Daphnia pulex: one gene and its partner. The main gene of each other region encodes a partner of the protein of the gene in region 2 in a complex. Links are inferred from orthologs where the notes say so. Each region holds a gene or a part of one and is shown on either strand. Other genes may lie near its edges.

Region 1 (3,843 bases), on a different chromosome or scaffold from region 2:
CAAAAGAATTGTAAAGCCCACAGTTAAAGACCTTATTTCTAAATCAGCCCAAGGTTGTCCATTTAATGATTTTGATGTATATGCAGGTGGATCGTAATCTGGCCATGAAACAGACCATTTGACTTTATCAATAGGAACGATGAGTCGCTAATTGGAAGAATATAGAAGAATAACTTCAGACAATAATTTTTTAAAAAATAATTTGTTTCACCTTTTGATCTGAACGAGGGTATATTTCACCTCTACATTTAGAGTGTATTTTATTGCTCCAAGTCGTCATTTTTGATGCAATAGAAACAAATCTTGACAACAGTACCATTATAGAAAAATAGTTAGGCCAAAGCGAAGTGCAAACCACTGCAAATTATTTTTTACCCGAGTATAAACGTCGAGATGATTTCCTGCGAACGTTATTTCTTGTTATTTAAACGTCGTCAAGACAACACTTTTTTCTGTTTACCATCATATTGAGCGATTATTCCTATGTTGCAAACTTGCTTGAATTTAGAACAAAGAATCATGCAAATCCAGAATTTTTTATTTTTGCAATGAAAAAAAGCAGGCATAAAAAAATTCCAGATTTTTATATGAGTAAATGAAATAGGTCTTTCTTTCAAAGTTTATTTTTAAAAAGATTCGCTCATAAAGCGGACTGCGGACAGACAGTGGCAGAACAATTTTTACGAAAGTAAACATTGAGACGGGCGGGGTTCAAATTTCGATTATCGTTGGAAGGTGAACATTGAAGGGCAAATAATAACATTCATTAACATAACTGATTGGAAAATTCATCAATCTCTAACGAAAAGACAATGCAATCATTTTTTCTTAATCGTTTGGCATATCCAGTTCATTCCATCCTGTATTAAAAGAATTTTGGATAAATAAGATAAAGAAAACTATCACGAGGACGCGTGCTATTTTTATTTTATTTTCAAACTATTACGAATTACGAAGGAAAAAAAAGATCAAATATGATGTTGCTACTTTTATCTAATCTACTAAATAACAAACCGAACGCATAACTAGATAGTGCATTCCGCGTACGGATAGTGCGTGAGTGAAAAAGTTAACGATTTGGAAATATGTATGTGTCTTTAGCAAATTCCTACCTACCTGAACGCCTTCACCAGAACAAGCGCAGCAGGCCTGTATGTAAGTACAACGAAAAATAAATTAAATTTCTGCTGATTTTCATTACAAGAATGACCTTTAAGCCTTTCTGATTTGTTATATTACCTGGATCTGCCATCCTCTGTCCTTAATTGTCTGGAGAGCCAAGCCCAAAGCTAATTCCGAAGGCGTCGCGGCACCCAATAAATCTTGTTTGTTAGCGAACACTAACAAGGGGACTAAAAACAATTGAGATTACATCGTGATTAAAAAAAAAAAGCTGAAACAGCTGAAACATAAACACATATTAAATTTATACATTCTAAGCTAAAAGTTTGATATTGTAGGCCTACAACTAGATTAATCAACTAACTAATGAATCTAGCGTTACTACGAATTTTAATGTTTACCTCCTTCTAGTTTTTCTTCATTAAGAAGTTCAGACAATTCCTCGGCAGTTTCATCGAAGCGCTTTCTATCGGAACTGTCTATCACATAGATCTGTGTAAAGACAACATAAATTGAATAACATAGCTCAAACTTTATAATAGGCCTAGTTAAACATCTTTTTAATTTTCGAATTTAAAATGATTTGTCGAACGACATAAATGCAATAGGCCTACCAGCACGTCAGTATTTTCAAAGTAATTTCGCCAATATGGCCGAATTTTTCTTTGTCCACCAATATCCCAAACGTTGAGCTTAAACCCCGATGATTGGACGGATTTTATGTTAAATCCTTGAGTAGGCGTAATGTGGGTTACGTCCTCGTTGGCCAGATGCTTCAAAAGGGTTGTTTTACCAGCATTATCAAGTCCTAGCAGCAATATTCGTAGTTCTTGTTCGGAAGAAGCGCGCAACTTTCGCAGCAAAGCCAACAAACCCTTTGGATGACAATAATTACAGTATAAGAAGAAAAATTCCTGTGTTATGTGAAGAGCAAGTTTCAAGGCAGGTCAGGCTTCCATAACAATTCATTTTGTTTTTCTATCACTGACTTCTTGCAAAAGCTTTTAAGGCAATCAACAGCAAGTCAGCAACTCAAATTTATGACAGTTCTAAATAAGAAGTTGAATGTTTATCCAGAGGGAAAAATACTTACCATTGAAAAAGCCAAATAGTTCTACAACAGTTTTTTAAGCCGACATTTGTACTTCTCACATAAATGAATGTTATGAATCCTATGACCTGGTAACCATGGAAATGGTCTCCTTTTTTATTACTATTCAAAAAATGAGACAATTGTGTCGTGCTACCCTATATTACACGTTAACGTCGTATTTGAAAATTGGATATTTTCCAAATTGATTGGATAAATTATATCATTCTGTATAGCTATGAAATAAAATTTATAAAGAAATTAGTTTTCTTAAATAATTTCTTTCTTCAATCAGAGCTCTGCTTCAATCCTCACACATATTCTAAAACGCAATATTACACGTATAAAACTATAAATTTCAGTAAAATCGTTAACTTTACTATGTTATAGATTCTAAATATTATTAAAATCATGACAGGAAAATTTATCCGTCGACTTGGGTCTATGGATGATCGGAGTCACGACTCACGAACGGCCGCGGGAACGGCCTATTTCTTATTTGTTCCTGTTCGGAAAAATCGCCTGTCAAGCCTGATTAAGTGTTTAGATCAGCACCGCCATATTTAGCATTGGCTTTTTAGTGTAAAACAACAACAACAAAACACTGTAAATGAGAAGTGAATTTTCTTAGTTGACAAAAATCAAAGAATATTTTTATCCATTGTTTTTGCAGTGTAGGAAAATGCATATTGCACTCTCCACCTCCCTTTTTTTAGTTTTCTTTTCGAAATATTGCTATGCTCAATACCAAGTTCAAACGGACGAGGTATTTGTGATTCAGTTGTCACCTTCGTTATTCAATTTATCAGACGTGGAGTCTTCAGGTAGCAAATGTTCTGTAGAATTGAAGTTAAATATAATACACTAGAAAATAAGATATTTCCTTTTGAACAATTTCATAACTTTTTTTCATTTTTTACAGATGAATACTTCTCCTATTCAGCTTCTCTGCACGGTTTGCCTGACCTACCAAAATGGATAAACCTTGTATTTAATCAAAATTTAAAACTTGGTTTTCTATATGGGACACCACCAAATAATTTAGCATCTCTAAAGGTAATTATTTTAATTTTTACCATACACTATAACGGATACACTTAAGACTTAACTTTACATATTTATGACTCATTTGAATTGATGATACACATTGTGTTTTTTAATGCTTTCACTTACCAAATACTTAAAATTTTTCAAATTTCATTCACAGTTAGATGTTGTTGCATTCAATCTGTTAACTTTTGAAACATCGGCAAAAGAAATTGTTATTGAAATATTTCCTAAAGAAGGTTTGTGGTGTTCTCATATAGAATCCTTTTGAGGAAACAAATTCACCGTTCAAAAATCATGTGTTACAGAACCTGCCACTTGTCAGATAAAACTAAAAATTCACAATCTAAACCTTGATGATCTGATGGATGAGCAAAAGCAAATGAAACTATTGGATATTTTTCGGAAAATACTATGGCCAGCAAGTTCGTTAGATCTTCATTTTGTGGAACTTTACTCAGCTTTAGCTGTTGGCGGGAGACGACCTGCGCGCCAGCAAGATGGAGAAGGGTATTTAATAGCAATCAACAAATGTAACAATTTTCTTCAAAAGTGTTTATGTTACAGAGTGTTTTTGACCTTGG
Region 2 (4,134 bases):
GATCATCTTTGAACTGAGGCCATACTTCACAAAAGTATTGATCTTCAATCAAGAATTTATAATCTAGGGGAAATCCGCCATTCTCTACTGCAGCACTGAAGTCACACAAGTCTTCTTGATTGGAAAATAACTCAATTGACCAATTAATTTTTTGAACTGTTCTCGTAGTTGGAACAAAATCTGTGAAAATTATGGAAATTTATAAGTTTTATTAGATAAATCTTTCAATTCTCTAAGTGTGTTGATACCTTCTGATGGGAAGTAATGTTTCCACCCTTTATATGGACAAGATACTGGTGGGAAATGCTGATTTATACGATTCCTCTGCCTTGCTGGTGTCTCGCTGTCAGAAGACTGAATATTTTGGTTTGAAGGAGGATCTCTAATATCTTTATAAACATTTTTAGAATAAATCAGAAACAAATTAAAGTTTCTCATTACCGTTATTGTTGTCATTGTTTCTTGTTGATCCTCGGCCTCTTTGATATCCACGTCCTCTCCATCTATTAGACCTCCAGTTGTTATTGCCTCTACCACGAAACCCACCTCTTTCTTTACCTCTAGAATTATTTCCTGAATCTGCCATAGCTAAACAAACTTAACTTTTTGGGGTGAACATGGAATTAACTAGAACAAAAAAGACTGCAATAGCTATGATGTGGTTCAAAGTTTTGATTTTTCCAAGGATAAAAAACCGCCGCTAACATTGCAGACGACAGAAAGTGAAGCCCATTCTGAAGGATGGGTAAGATTCGATTCGACCTAGAAAACCCTAGTTGTGAATTGTTCATAATTGTAGTAAATTCAAGTAGTTTATAACCTCCACATAATTGCAAAAACAAATATTTTACATGAACTTTGTATTTTGTAATTGGAAGAATCACTAGCCATAATCCTCTCAGAAAATAAACACATTAATTATGTTTTTATCTAGTTTAAATTTGATTTTTTTTTAATAATAAAAAAAAAAATAAAACACTTACTCTCAATGAAAAATATATATTCAAGCAACAACAAAGAATTCTTCGTCTTATTTTATAGCAATATCAACATATTACGGAAAATTAATGCATCGGGACTCTCCGTATTCTCGTAACTTATTTAATCCAGGGAACTTTAAGAAAAATATCACCGTATTCAATATTCATTCTATGAAAATCCATCACGAATATCATGGTTAATCCATCAATTTAAAAATAAATTAGGGGGAGGAATATGTTAAAAGATGGGGCGAGGATCGCAAAAGACTAGCCTATATTATTTTTGAGTGGATATAATTTTATATTTTTCCCGATTTTTAATTGAAAATCCAAAATCGTATGCGGTTTGAAAATTCGAAAGGATTGATAAAATAGGATGTCATTCTTATTAATTAACTAAAAAATTCGTGATAAAAAAAAATCAAGACAATTAAATTTTGTGGGCGACAGAATTCTACAGCGAAATCGGTCAAGATTCGAGCACAGGACGGTCTATCTGAGGGTTTGTGCGGGTTTGTGTTTGTTATCGTTTCGTTGCTATGACCACGCCATGGATCGCGCGCTTGGACAGGAGTTAAACAGTCCGGTTTTCCGGAGGAGAGTTTCAATTGTAGATGCGATCTGTCAATTCCAGAACCGTCCCAAACTACCACCTTCAGCCATGGAGCAAGCGAAAAGTGAGACAGACAACGAAAACAACGCCGATTGGATTCTGGATTCATTGGTGGCCTACCTTCGTGGTCCCATTTGGAATACGCCAATTCTTAACTTCATAGAGCAGAAGTCCGTAGGTATGATAACATAACTAATATTATTATAGCGACATATTATAGGTTCATGTTCCTGTATGTATAGCTTCATAGCTTCAATGCTTTATAGGTATTTTTAATAGTCTGTTTCTGCGTCTGCTTGTTATTCTGCGTTCGACAACTTATTTAACAAGCAAAACTAGAATATACCATTTTTGAGTCACGAAAATTTTAATAATTTCTTATTCATAATTCATAAAGGTTTTACCCGAAATTTAAAATTTAAACATTGTGAAATTTGAAAGTATTTGAAGGTGATGGCGAACAGTACGAGACTGAGTACCTGGGAATCCATAAGGATTTCCGTAATCTGGTGAGATGTTGTACAAAGTCAAGTCACACCTTGTGACGCTTCTTCTATTGAGCGAGCCAGCAGCAAATTACATAACAGATTTGTACATAATTTCTGATTCATGCAAGGTGGATGTCATGCTCGGGGCTTACATGGATGATTTAAGCCTTCAGCCGGAACATTTAGAATCAGCCTTGAGTCAAATTCAGCCATCCGTTCGATCGGCGGCTTTACAGGTAATTTAACTATGGCTCATTTATTCTTCACACATTATATATTTCATTCATTTCACGCCACATTGATTTTAAACGTTGCATATGATCTGTTATAGCAATTACTAGAACCCGTGCAATCGGCTGGAGATTACGATCGCTTCAAAGTTCTGATGCGCTCTAAAAATGAGCAACTGCACAACGAAGCAGTGGAAATGCTTCGTCAGAAACGCAATCATCCCGACGACGGCCCGGCCATTGAAAATCGATCGTCTGTCGATGAGTTTTCCGAGGAAGACATCAACGAAGCCATTCGACAATCGTTGGCGGAACATGTGGCCGAACGAAATGCCCAAGTCCAAGAAAAGCGCGAAGGTAAAATGGTTTGGATCAAAGGACTTACAATACAATGGGAAACACATTCTAATTTTAAGTGAACGTCAAGTTGACCGAGCTCTGGCTGCTTCCGTTGCTGGACTTCTCAAGACAAATTTGAGTGTTGAAGATGAACAGAGCGTGACTACATTGCCGGATACCAATGAACCTCCGCCAACCAATCAAGTTGAATCTCCAGCCAAAGGTTTACTTATTCTAAAAGAATTACTTGTATTTAAAAAAAAATTAAATCGTTGGTCAATTTTTATTTAGTTGCAATGAGGATTCCTGATCCGGCAGAGGTGGAGCAACGTCGCGTGCAGTTGCGGGCTCAGCGTGACAAGATTCTCAGCCAGAAGCGGAAAGAACGAGAACTCCAGTTGGAGCAGCAAGAGCGGACGGACAGGGTGGCAGGAGAAAGTAGTAAACCGGGAATGTCTAGACCGAGATCTGGACGTGCCGCTCGAGCGGCCTTGGCCGGCGAGGCGTCTCCCGAGGTGGACGAGCGTACCATTCAATATCGACGGTTGCTCTTGCAGAAAATCAAAGAGGAGGTGGAAGGCGTTCCACCGAAATAAAATCTTGTTTTATATCTTCAAGATAAAACTTTTTCTTTAAATTTTATTTAAAATATTTATTGTAAAACATGTCTGCGTTATTATTTTAGCACGTCACATTTTCAAACATTTAAATTCAGAACTATGAAATACGGGATTTATTTAAACACCTTGCACATGTAGTAAGTCGAATTTTAATTACTAGATTAACACAGCGCGTGTATTGCATATACGGAAGAGCGATATCTGACCTGAATAAACGGCTTTTACTTTCTTTATTTTTACCGTAACAATTATAAAGCTATATACTACTGCATTTCAATTTTCAAGCAGAAACTGGCAAAGGATTGACTTTTTCGCCACCCAGGATAGCGAAAATGGATTCTTGATTGGCCTTTTGTCTGCGAAGCTCCGGGCGTATGGGGAAAGTCATGGCGAAACCAACCAGCAGCGCCATTGATAATAAACAGTTGCACACCATGGAGCCATAGGTTCCCAACAGCCAACCTCCCAGAAGTGTGAAGGTGATGCCAAAAACCTGGGCGGAGGCGTTCAACAACCCCGCCGAAGTGACTTCGGGTTCCGGATAAGTTAATTCGGCGCCAAATTCAAATCCCACGGGCAGATATCCCGTCATGAAAAAACTATACAGACAATTCAAACAATATTAAAAATTGCATGCTCTTTTAAACCATTATTCATTGATAAAAAGATATTGTATGAGAGCTAAACCTACCCAGCGATTCCTGCCGCAACAAAAGTGATGGGAATATATTCAAGTCGGAAAGTGAAAGTGTAAGTTACCATTCCAACTAGGGCAAAGAAGTATGTCACCAAAGTCGTTTCCCTAGAAAAAATTGTTGTAATTATCTAGCTTAAAATTACAGTATTTGCAGACGTCAATTAATC

The links.
Region 1: the proteins of cilia- and flagella-associated protein 36-like (region 2) and ADP-ribosylation factor-like protein 3 are in contact, whole or in part, in a crystal structure (PDB 4ZI3), measured with the Mus musculus proteins. The link is inferred for Daphnia pulex from reciprocal best matches to the Homo sapiens genes CFAP36 and ARL3. Residues at the interface, in NP_080016.1 of Mus musculus: Glu44, Glu45, Ser46, Lys47, Leu48, Thr51, Glu52, Lys58, Val61, Glu62, Leu65, Glu76, Phe79, Gln80, Cys83, Thr84, Ala88, Lys89, Leu97, Val100, Leu101, Ala103, Glu104, Asp105, Phe106, Thr107, Ile108; in NP_062692.1 of Mus musculus: Leu3, Leu4, Ile6, Leu7, Arg8, Lys9, Leu10, Lys11, Ser12, Arg19, Lys35, Glu40, Pro47, Thr48, Gln49, Gly50, Phe51, Asn52, Ile53, Lys54, Trp66, Ile74, Tyr77, Ser80, Tyr81.

What each region holds. Positions count from the first base shown.
Region 1 is NC_060026.1:9,413,287-9,417,129, reverse strand, and holds ADP-ribosylation factor-like protein 3, read right to left. Parts: upstream 2,296-3,843; 5' UTR 2,219-2,295; coding exon 2,216-2,218; intron 1,998-2,215; coding exon 1,737-1,997; intron 1,615-1,736; coding exon 1,524-1,614; intron 1,353-1,523; coding exon 1,240-1,352; intron 1,150-1,239; coding exon 1,117-1,149; intron 861-1,116; coding exon 819-860; 3' UTR 611-818; downstream 1-610. Other genes in the region: ADP-ribose pyrophosphatase, mitochondrial-like, read right to left, coding at 32-147, 212-280; epsilon-sarcoglycan-like, read left to right, coding at 2,895-3,036, 3,135-3,268, 3,420-3,498, 3,568-3,769, 3,827-3,843. UniProt on the Homo sapiens protein: Small GTP-binding protein which cycles between an inactive GDP-bound and an active GTP-bound form, and the rate of cycling is regulated by guanine nucleotide exchange factors (GEF) and GTPase-activating proteins (GAP).
Region 2 is NC_060027.1:5,081,314-5,085,447, reverse strand, and holds cilia- and flagella-associated protein 36-like, read left to right. Parts: upstream 1-1,494; 5' UTR 1,495-1,530; coding exon 1,531-1,771; intron 1,772-2,034; coding exon 2,035-2,102; intron 2,103-2,209; coding exon 2,210-2,317; intron 2,318-2,412; coding exon 2,413-2,668; intron 2,669-2,738; coding exon 2,739-2,873; intron 2,874-2,941; coding exon 2,942-3,246; 3' UTR 3,247-3,503; downstream 3,504-4,134. Other genes in the region: DNA helicase MCM8-like, read right to left, coding at 1-180, 249-389, 442-586; feline leukemia virus subgroup C receptor-related protein 2-like, read right to left, coding at 3,551-3,869, 3,962-4,072. UniProt on the Homo sapiens protein: May act as an effector for ARL3.